Linked DNA regions of Ovis aries. The protein of the gene in region 3 purifies or fractionates together with the protein of the main gene of each other region. This does not show direct contact. Links are inferred from orthologs where the notes say so. Each region holds a gene or a part of one and is shown on either strand. Other genes may lie near its edges. The genes, in order: CCP110, CEP97 and KIF24.

Region 1 (4,313 bases), on a different chromosome or scaffold from region 3:
ATGGAAATGAAGGAAAATCACACATGAAACTATGATTACATTATGAGAAAATAAGATCTATTGCTACTTTTGACAAACTGGTAGTCCTTTTTTTTTTTCTGGTAGTCTTATTAATAGCAAAACTTCTTCCTACCATCCCACCAATTCTAATTATTTCTATTTTCATTTATGCAAATTGAGAACTTAATTTCAAAGAAATGGTTCTCTAGCGTATAAATGAGATTATCTTGCAAACTTAAATTCATAAAACAAGAAAATAAAATACAAAACAGCTTACTGCATGATAACCAAAGCAGGCCTCATTTAGTCTAGGCTTCAACCCACATTATATATTAAAAATTAGAATAGGCAGAAGCTAAGATATAAGAGAAAATTAAATGATCCCCTCTCTACTAAAATGCTTCAAAAGAATTTTTAACACAACCCACACATCCAGCATTACAAGAAACAAAAATAGATTACTCATACAATTAATGTAATATACTTCCAATGGATACACAAGCAAAGCATGGAAGGTCTGGGAAATTTAAGGAAATAAAATATCTTTATGGTAATAGCTTTATATTTCTTTCAACATCATATAAATATGCCTCATTGCTTCAGAAAGTTAAATTCACATCCCTTAAACAGTATATGTTTGCCATACACACTGCAGACATACAGCAATATATTATTATTACCGCATAACTTATGGCCTATGATAATATCATGATTATGAAAATAACCAAGTGACTCTATAGCATGAACCCTGTGTCATTCACTATCACACTATCCTGCTGTTTCCCAAGTTTCATAACACTTACCCCTATCTGAAATTATCTTATTTCCTTGGGTTTTGTCTGTCTTCCTCCACCAAAATGTAATCTCCATAAGCACAGGTACCTTCTCAGTCTTGCTCACCACTGAATCCCCATTACATAGGACAAAGTCTGTACACAGGAGGCACTTCATAAAAATGTTGAATAAACAGAATAGTTAGCTCAAATAATAAAGTAAATCAGAAAAAAGAAGACAGTAGACTACACTGCAAAGAAGCTAGCAAGGAAGAATGGAATTTAGAGAATAGGACTTTCATTGATGACACTATTCCCAGAGAAAATGGTACCTCTAAACTGCAAAGGCAACCATTTAAAAATCGAGAGCCGGAATCCTATGTAATTAAGCAACAGGGAACTCCATTTCTCATGCCACAATTACCTCTGTTAACAGGGTTTTATTTTAAGGGAGCATTGATTACAAGGCCACTGCAACCACAAATCTACTGCCCCATACTTTACCACTAGGTATTACTGGTCCACTTGAATTAATAATTTGTTGGCTGCATCAAGTTCAGACATGGCCTGTCTTCTCCACTTAAACTAGGATCCTTCTCCAAATGAGCCTCTTTGCAAACCCCATAGACTCACAACTCTGCTACCTGCTCCTCCTCAGTGCTCCATCAGAAAAGTCACTGAAGGGAATCACGAAAGAACACAGAACATGTCCTGTTTACACATCCTAGCTACTTGTTTACCCATCAGTCTTTTCAAAGGGGCAAAAAAAAAAAGGGGAAGCTTTCTTTTTCAGGCACACAGGAGCTGAATGTTCTTGGCAATTCACTTACCATATCTATCCCTCGTTTCCTGTAAAATAGGTATAATCATAGTATTTGCTTTGATGAGATTCTGTGTGGATTCATTAATAGGACATGCAGAAAGCAACGAATGGGAGTAACTTTCATTAGGAAGAGAATGATGACGACTATTTTTTCCACTAGTTTATGAATTCCTAGAGGCCAGTGACAGTGCTTTAGTTTCTGGTAAGATTCAAATTTAACTTAAAAACGTGGAGGTTGAAGAGGGAGGGGACATATGTATACCTATGGCTGATTCATGTTGAGGTTTGACAGAAAACAACAAAATTCTGTAAAGCATTTATCCTTCAATTAAAAACTAAATAAAATTTTTTAAAAAAAACGTGGAAAGGGGGACCTCAGCTTCCTCATTTTGCTGCGTTCATTAAGTCAAACTCTAGGTGCCTGCCATTGCTTAAATTGGGAGCAGGGAACTGGGGTTATAACCAGGTAGAAGCAAAGGGTGGAAACCACCTAGTAGCATGAGGGCCAATAAAGATAATTTGCTTTTTTATCCTTCTCCTTGCGCCCCCAGAGAGTCACAAACGCAGGATGAAGAATGCGCCTAGGCCCTTTAGCTGGTGATAACTGGCATTCAGAAATGGCCAGTGCACACCCTGGGACGCTCCCCTTGCCAGGAAAAAAAAAAAAAAAATGGCCCAACCAGTTCTATCAACAGGAGATGGTTCCCCAGTTTTGGTCTGATTTTATTTACTGGGGACCCTCTGCCGTCTCCCCAGCGCCCCAAGTCCACCTTCCCCAGCTCCTCTGATAAAGCTCCATCCCGAGGACCCACCAGGCGGTGCCAGCATCTGAACATCACCTCCGCGACCGATGCCGCAGGCCCCCGGGGCACCCGCCTCCACACAGCCTGAGTCTTTCCAGGGGCTCGACGTCCGGAAGCCCCTGCGCTCGGGTTTCTTTCAGCTCCTCAGCGCGCCAATTCCGCCCGCCCTGCGGCCTCGCAGCCGAGACCCGCTGAGTCAAGCCCACTCTTAGGCACACACCTGTTCTCCCACGGTCCCGGCAGGTTTCCTCCCCTAGCTCCTGGCCTTGGTAGGAAGCAAACTGCTCAATTGGTACTGACTGAAAACAACTCCGTTCGCCGCCGCCTTCTCCTTCTCCTCCCCGCCATATTACGGTACTCTGGCGGCAACGCGGGCTCCTGGCAACCGCCGCCGCCACCGCCGCCGCCGCCGCCGCCGCCGCACCCCCACCTCCGGACTCCACCTCTTAGGGCCAGAACTTCCGGTGGCTGCTTCCGGGTCCGTTGGCCCGGTTGGGCCTTCAGAAAACTACAATCCCCGAGTTGCTGTGCGCGCCTGGTTTACGCGTCCCGGCCCAGCGATGGAAGGCGTTGTTCTTACGGAAGGCGCGGTGCACGCCGGGAAGCGTAGTCCTCACTGACCGCTCTCAAATTTTCTTTCGTTAGGAGCTGAAGCCTCGAGAAATGCTCCTTGAAGCTGCTATTTTTCACTTATCTGTAAAGAGATAACTTCTTTCTGTACAATCGTTGGAATACATACAGTAGGCACCAAATTTTTTTTCTCTCTTAAAAAAAAAAAATGATTGAATCCTAGATGCCACAACTTGAAGCTTCAACACTTGCCTACTCTTGCAAATCACAGGGAAAATACCTCCAAGAAACGAAGGCAGCAGGTTAAGAATGGCAGGAAAAGCTCAGAATGTTTTGCCAAAGTTCTCTGTCCAAACATATTGCCAGTTTTCTGTCAACTTAAAAAAAAATACCACAAGAGTTGTAGGTTAAGTTTTATTTGGGACAAAAATGAGGACTATTACTCAGGAGACAGCAATTCAGATAGTTCTGAGAAACTGCCCCCAGAGAGGCAGGAAGAGAGGTCAGTACGATTTTAGCGGAAAGGGATATGTGAAGTCAAGCACACGTTTTGCCAGAGGCTTCCGCTGGCCATGAGGAGCTGATACCACCATTAATGATTTTAGTGCTTTTCTAGATAGGAGGAGATGTAAGAATTGGGCTCATAAAATCTTCTGAAAATACCCAATTTTTCCCAGAGGACAAAGTACCTCATTCCTGATCTCCACCCTGAACTCCTTTCAGGATATGTTGAAGGTCAGTGGCTGCAGTGGCTAATAATTTAACCCTTACAGAGGCAAATGGCAACTGCCAATTTTTGTTGGCATTTTCAAAATATGACTTAACAGCTAGCCCCTTTCCTAAACTGGCCTTACTTTCTGCCTCTCTTACCCTCTTTCCCATGCCAATTTTCTCGTGTATAAAATGAGAGATTTAAATGTGCCTATCACAAGAGTAGTTGTAAGGAATACTTGAGATAATTCTTGCAGTTCCTTGTACAGAACCCCCATCATTAGACCTTAGTAGGAGAAGAAGTAAGGTTAAGAGGAGTAGCAGTAGAAATTTCATGGCATAAAACTGGGTAGCATGATGTTAGTCCCGACTCTGCCATTATCAGCTCATTTCACTTCACTTCTCCTGGCCTCAGCTTCTTCATCTATCAAATGAGGGCATTACTGAAATCCCTTCCAGCTTTACAATCTGATTATACCTGCTCTACTGTTTTGTTGTTGTTCAGTCCTTGAATCATGCCCAACTCTTTGCAGCCCCATGAACTGCAGCACACCAGGATCCTCAGTCCTTCACCATCTCCCAGAGTTTGCTCAGATTCATGTTCATTGAATTGGTGATGCATATCTAAACATC
Region 2 (3,290 bases), on a different chromosome or scaffold from region 3:
TCTTCTCAACCTGAGTGCTACATATTTAAAAACTGAGAAAAGAACATCTTACCCACAGTGAGGAAATGTTTCTAACTCTCAACATAGTATAAAATGTGATCCCTGACTTTACTCTTGGAAGGATCAGCTTTTATTTTATGTAACTTCAAAGAAGGGGACCTAGTGACTGTAACTGAATAATGAATACATATTTAGCACCTAAATTTAAAGAACACTTAATTATTGCCATAGTTTTAAATCATTGTACACACACAGACTGGGGGGAAGTCAGATATGTGTGTTCAATGATATTAGAACATTCTCAAAGATTAGAATCTCAAGCTTCCAAAAATTACCCTTGATTTGCAAATGCATTTATTAACATTCAAACACAGTATTATCATTTCTTCCTGGAGTTACAGATATATACTCTTTTTAATGAATAAAGAAATAAATGAGGTTTATTTTTTCTTTACCACCATTAAGTTGTCTTCCAAATGTGGCACTTTTTCAGATTTAGATGGAAAATAGTCCTTATTAAAAATGTCATTCCTATTCTACCACTGGTATTATTTTAAATGTTCTTTTCTGTGAGGTCAAGAATGAAGTAAATGACCATGGGCCTCTGCTGAAATATATAAGCAAATATAAAGCAGGAACAAAGAAAGCGTACATTAATTTCTGGCAACATACTGGCACATAAATTCTTATCTGTGCATGTGCTTAGTCACTCACTCGTGTCTGACTCTGTGACCCCATGGACTGTGGCCTGCCAGGTTCCTCTGTCCATGGGGATTCTCCAGGCAAGAACACTGGAGTGGGTTGCCATGCCCTCCTCCAGGGGATCATCCCGACCCAGGGATCGAACCCAGGTCTCCCACATTGCAGGTGGATTCTTTACCAACTGAGCCACCAGGGAATGCTTATCTATGGGGTGAAAAATCACTAAATGAAAAGATAATAAATGTTTGGTGGGATATTATCCCAAGTGAATGGAGCCTATACCTAACAGAAATATTCTTGTGTTGCCCTTTAAACGAGCTTCACTTTAATTCTGGACAGACAACTTTGCTTCATATGTTAAAATTGATACATAACGTTCAAGTTTTCCATGAAACAACTTAATTATTCCCACTGAAAAATCCTATCATCTTACCTTTTTTCCTGTTTGCTTACAAGAAGTCTTTCATGGATTAATAGGGAAGAAAAAGGTTTAAAAACACATGTTCTTACTCCAAAGAGGCTGGCAAATTTCAATAGTTCACAATCCTATATGTCATTTATATTTACTGTACCAAATTGCATTCCTCACTACATAATTAACTTTCTCACATACAGAAGAATTAAAAATTCTCTTATTTGCATCTTTAAGGTAAAATTTCTATCTCCTTTAAGGTATTCTAGTTTATTTCTGAAAGGAAATGAATACATCAAAACATCGGAACACTGTTGATGCAATTTAGTTGTTAATAAAGTGCATGTGGCTTTCAATATAAATATTGTTTGATACATTATAGCTAAATAAAAAGCTAACAAAACAAAAAGGAAGATTTACCTCAGTACCTAGGTTGCAGGGGAAAAAAAATAGTAACAAAACTGGGAGAAATATTCTTCTTCCCCCCCAAAAAAGCCATGAAAATATTCTTAAATTAAATAGACTTCTGCTTTTCAAGCAACCAGACATGCTACACAATAATACCAACGTGCAATACCTGAAATGTAGAATCACATTCTGACTGCTGCCCTTGTACTTCTGCATTTAATTCACAATTCTCTGGTGTCTGGCTGACTTCATATGGCAAAGCGGGAGATACGCCTTGAGCGACATCTACAGACGCACTATCAGATACGACATCTAACTTTTCAGGGGAACGAGGTAGGTGAAGCTTACTATCTCCCGTCCCTTCATCAAAGTGTCTCCTCTCATCAGCGTCATCTAGCTGCTGAACTGAAGTTAGATACTGTTCAAGCAGACTATTATCCTGCTCACTGTTTGAGCCTTCCTTACTCCATTCACCATGTTCTTCACTAACATCCCCTACGTCTGACTCTTTGCCATACTTGACAGTGTCAATGGAATTCCCCATTATGGAACTTTCACTACCTTCTGTGGAACTTTTTTCAAAATCCAAAGAATCCTGTACACAGTGAACTTGTTCAGTTAAGGAGGAATGAAAACCAGAGTCTGGAAATTCTGGTAAGGATTTCTCTTGAGGAGCTTCATCAGGAGCAATGAACCAATCAGAATTTTGATCAGAAGATGGCTCCTGACTTTGGCTGAATAAAGGAGGTTTAGATGGCACCAGAGTACTTGATATAGGGGGAACATCAATATGGCAGGAACTTAGATGCTGGTCCACAGTCTGTTGCCAAGCTTGTAGAGACCTTACCTGCAAACCAAAGGATACAGTTTCACTACAAAACATAAATCACGCCTATTTTACAACTGTCCTTTGAGGTTTCTTTCCCCCCTAGACTCAGGAAGTTGGTAAACAGCAGATGGCAAAACTGGAGTTAGAAATGTCCTGACTCCCCTGATCCTTTCCACAGCACCCCCAGCTTAGACCTGGTTGGCAAAAGCGGTTCACGTTGTTGGAAAGCAGGAAAGCAGGGATGGGCCAAAGCAATTCACTTGCTCCTACTAGAAAGATAATCAGAAGCACAATAAGGCACATACAGCTCACAAAGGGGTCAATGAGGTTCTCAATACACTGAAGTCTATTTAACAAGAAACAATAGAACCTATTAATAAGAGTAGATTCTCTAAAATGGGAGTCTCATGCTAGATACCCATTTCAGATAAGAGTTTTTAAAAACTAATAATGCAGGATTTCCCCTGGTGGTACAGTGGATAAGAATCCCCCAGCCCATGCCGGCAACACAGGTTCAATCCTTGGTCTGGGAAGATTCTACACACCGCAGAGGCCATGTGCCACAACTACTGAAATTGGTGTGCCTAGAGCCTGTGCTCTGCAACAAGAGAAGCCACCTCAACAGAAGCCTGAGCACCACAATGAAGAGCAGCCCCCGTTTCCTGTAACCTCAGAAAGCCCTCTTGCAGCAATGAAGACCCAGCACAGCCAAAAATTAATTATTTTAAAAAGAGAGGGAAAAAACCTAACAATGAAGTATACACAACTCTAAAATACCTAAAAATTCCTGGAGTTCTTAGTAATACGATCTTTACTTCTTTTTCTTTCTTTTGGCCGCGCTACACAGCTTATGGGATCTTAGTTCCCTGACTAGGGATCAAACACACACGCCCTGCAGTGGAAGCGTGCAGTTCTAACCACTGGACTGCCAGGGGATTC
Region 3 (3,652 bases):
TGTGTTTTATTTTTTATAAGAAAAAAAAAAAAACTTTTTTGGGGTTTTTTTGGACCATTCTGTGGGGTTTGCAGGATCTTAGTTCCCCAACCAGGACTGAACCTAAGCCCAGCAGTGAAAGTACAGAGTCTTAAACACTGGGCCACCGAGAATTTCTCAGAATAAAACACATCTTTTAAAGCATCCTAAAGGTTCTGCTAAGCTGCTAAGTCACTTCAGTCGTGCCTGACTCTGTGTGACCCACAGACAGCAGCCCACTAATCTCCTCTGTCCCTGGGATTCTCCAGGCAAGAATACTGGAGTGGGCTGCCATTTCCTTCTCCAATGCATGAAAGTGAAAAGTGAAAGGGAAGTCACTCAGTTGTGCCCGACTCTTAGTGACCCCATGGACTGCAGCCTACCAGGCTCCTCTGTCCATGGGATGTTCCAGGCAAGAGTACTGGAGTGGGGTGCCATTGCCTTCTCCAAAAAGGTTCTAGCTTTCTTCTTTTTTTAAGGCTCTAGTTTTAATGTGCAATATTCCCTAGAAGAAATAAACTATATCTGTCTGACATGCAAAGTTAATACAGCTAGAGTTAGGTCTGTTCACAATCTTAAATAAGTCAGGGCAACCAGTCCTCTAAATGCCTTACTTTCATTAAAATTCAGAGTCCAATAAGTTATTTTGAACTTACCTAATTTGAGGTATCCAAAGAGAATGCTCTTCGGATAGGGATGACTCACTAACAGGAAGCTTCAAGTTGGTGAGGGAGTTTCTCAGGGTTCTGAAACTCTGGCTTCTACTTAGAATTTAGGGGAGAAGACAATATTGAGAATTATTGGGACAATGAACTTTCTTAACCTCCATTTCTCTAATATAATAAGGAATGGAAAGTGTAAGATGATACAAACAGTGAGAAAGCTCAATTGAACACCTTTCGTCCTGCATCTGGCATGTATAAACCTCTGTGAGAGCACTTAGCTCACTCTATGGTTGTCTGACTTCCCACTCACCCTGCCCCCTAAGAGTCTCAGAGTCTCCAGATAGTCTAATGATCTTTATATCTAGAATCAGGACAGGCAGAGGGGGTATTCTATATATGTGAAATAAATAAAGCAGCAATATTTAAACTAAAATATCCATTCTATCTAAATAAATAATGGAAAGTCATATCTTCATTCTATTTATAAATAATTCCAATTTAGATTTTTATATGTTGTTCAATAAAAGACTAACATTCAAAAAAGTATTTGCTCTTTCACCGCTGAGCTAACCAACAGGACAGCAACAATCATGGTATTGATGGTCATAGAACAATCCAGTCCTTTCACAACTAAAAGAAGAAAAAAATACTATATGCTCTGTGCTTTGCTAAACCAAGCCAAAAAAAATTTTATTTTCAGAAAAACTATAGAATTCATTTATGTATTTCAAATTACTGAAGACATTTTTACCTTTAAAATTGGATCCTCTATTCTTTTAGAATAAAAGAACTGGTTGGTTATGAAATCCTCTGAAACCTTAGCCAATATAAGACCATATGGAAATACTGTTTTAAGGTATGAATAATAGCCCTTTTTTTTTTTTAAAGTGGCTTAAGAATGTATTTTGTTTCTCCGTAACTCACCAACTGTAACTTTTAAAATAACAAAACAGGCAATACACAGTATTTTTAAAAGAATGTATTTTCTATTATACCAAGGTTAGTATTAGGGATTACTTGATATTTCAACTCTTAGGGACCTTTTTCAAATTCTAACTCATCACCACTAAGTGAAAATAACTTATTGTCACTCTGGCTCCCAAACTGTAAATGCTATCAAAAGTATCTTACTATTTGCAATGACCAAACTCATCTGTTCTTCCAGGGCTGGAATTGTAAAAAGCACTCAAAATCAGGACCATATTTCAAATTTTGCAGGTAAATCAACTGCTCCAAAGACCTATTTAATTCAACTAGCTGAATTAAGCAGTGGTTTTTTTAAAACTAAGCTTCATGAGCCCTGGTTGAAGTTAATTTGACAATCTAAAAAAAAAAAAATCCTATGGATTTTGTAATTTTTTTTTTCTACTGCAGAGGAAAGTTAACTATTTTACCTTCATGGATGCACTATATATATCATGTCAGGCTATAATAAAAACAGGTCTGCAGCTGACCCTGGGAAGTAGCAGCTGCTTAATGCACATGAACAATCATCTTTCTCCCATCTGGAAAGTCCAAATTCTTCATCAATTTCCCCCAGTCAAGGTATCTGCATTATCACCACAGAAGCTGTTCACTATTATTTTCTGTAAATACGGAGTAGTTGGTCTCCTCTGCTCAAGGAGAACCCTGCCCTTGCCTAAGGCTCCTTTCCCTCCAGAAAAAAGAAAAAGATAAAAAGTTATTACCTGATATAGGAATGAGGGATTCCATAGTTATACCCTGAAACATGAGAGATTCTTTGAATAACTGAACTATCACAATCCCCCTGTACTGGAGAAAAGTAATTAGATGAAAAGGATGAAGTCTTAGCTTCTTTTTGTATGCAGGAATCAGCGGCTGTGGCATTCAGAATTCCTGTTTGTATATGGTACTGGGAATTAGCTGGTAGCATGTGCTCCAGTACTTTTATGTAGTTAGACTTCTGTTCACTTGCAGAAAAATCTGATAAATCACACAGTTCAAACTGATTGTTGCTGGTAGTTCTGTCTTTGTTGTCAGCAGGAGAATCAAAATGCAGTTGCCTTCGAGGGCCAGATCTGGATTTCTGAGGCTTGACACACAGATTGCTTGTCTGAAGACGATAGTCTGGGCTACTGACTGCTTTATCTTCTTCCTGCATAATCTTAATGATTTTGATAAGTTGGAAGAGACGTTTGCGGTCATTCATGTCATGGACTCCCAATTTGGAGTAGTCCTTCATTGTAACGTTGGCTAATTCATCTATTTTCTGAAGGCCAAGGGCAGTAAAATGAGGATAATACTGTGCTAGTTCAGCTTCACAAAGACATTCATACAACCAGGATGTCATTTTTGTGAATAGGTTTGTTTCTATAAACTCTGAAGAGGAAAAAAAAAAAATTCATTCACTTGAAATATAGTATATATAATACAATTATTCCTTGAAAAAAAAAAAAGAAACCCACAAAAGAAATATGCAGCAAAATCCATCCCAGCATTCCAGGTTTTCAATAAATACATTTTTCTTTTAAAATGATTAAATAGCATAATATATAAACATGCTTATAATGCATTTGTAGTAATCTGTCCTTTGCTTAATAAAGAGAGACTTTCAGTTATGTACACACACAGGTACATGCACATACACATAACACAAATCACTTACTTATTCTAGGGAGTTCCTTCCAGTCTTGCAATGTCTACTTCACATATACCACAAACTACTGAAACCTTCTCCCCAACTGCTGATTGTTACGGGACTAATTTTAGATGTTCAAGTTAATGTCAAGGCATGTCGCACAACTGTTTCCCATGATTAACGAACAAAGGCTAAGAACTATTTCAAAATGGAAAGCAGAATTAAATAGTGACTCACAGAGGATCATGAATATAATTCAGAGAAAATCACATTTGTATATACTGAGTACTGGTAGAAGTTAGTTGAATAGAGGTAAAAACATCATTAATCCAGAATCTACTAATTCAGGATTTTCAGATCATTCTAAAAG

Evidence for each region.
Region 1: the proteins of KIF24 (region 3) and CCP110 purify together in Homo sapiens (co-immunoprecipitation; 4 studies listed by BioGRID and IntAct, with this or other methods). This does not show direct contact. The link is inferred for Ovis aries from reciprocal best matches to the Homo sapiens genes KIF24 and CCP110.
Region 2: the proteins of KIF24 (region 3) and CEP97 purify together in Homo sapiens (co-immunoprecipitation; 4 studies listed by BioGRID and IntAct, with this or other methods). This does not show direct contact. The link is inferred for Ovis aries from reciprocal best matches to the Homo sapiens genes KIF24 and CEP97.

What each region holds. Positions count from the first base shown.
Region 1 is NC_056077.1:17,602,393-17,606,705, reverse strand, and holds the start of CCP110 (centriolar coiled-coil protein of 110 kDa), read right to left. Parts: upstream 2,848-4,313; 5' UTR 2,409-2,847; intron 946-2,408; 5' UTR 804-945; intron 1-803.
Region 2 is NC_056054.1:166,999,001-167,002,290, reverse strand, and holds part of CEP97 (centrosomal protein of 97 kDa), read right to left. Parts: intron 2,370-3,290; coding exon 1,665-2,369; 3' UTR 1-1,664. UniProt on the Homo sapiens protein: Acts as a key negative regulator of ciliogenesis in collaboration with CCP110 by capping the mother centriole thereby preventing cilia formation. Required for recruitment of CCP110 to the centrosome.
Region 3 is NC_056055.1:37,231,358-37,235,009, reverse strand, and holds part of KIF24 (kinesin-like protein KIF24), read right to left. Parts: intron 3,024-3,652; 5' UTR 2,995-3,023; coding exon 2,372-2,994; intron 783-2,371; coding exon 675-782; intron 1-674. UniProt on the Homo sapiens protein: Microtubule-dependent motor protein that acts as a negative regulator of ciliogenesis by mediating recruitment of CCP110 to mother centriole in cycling cells, leading to restrict nucleation of cilia at centrioles.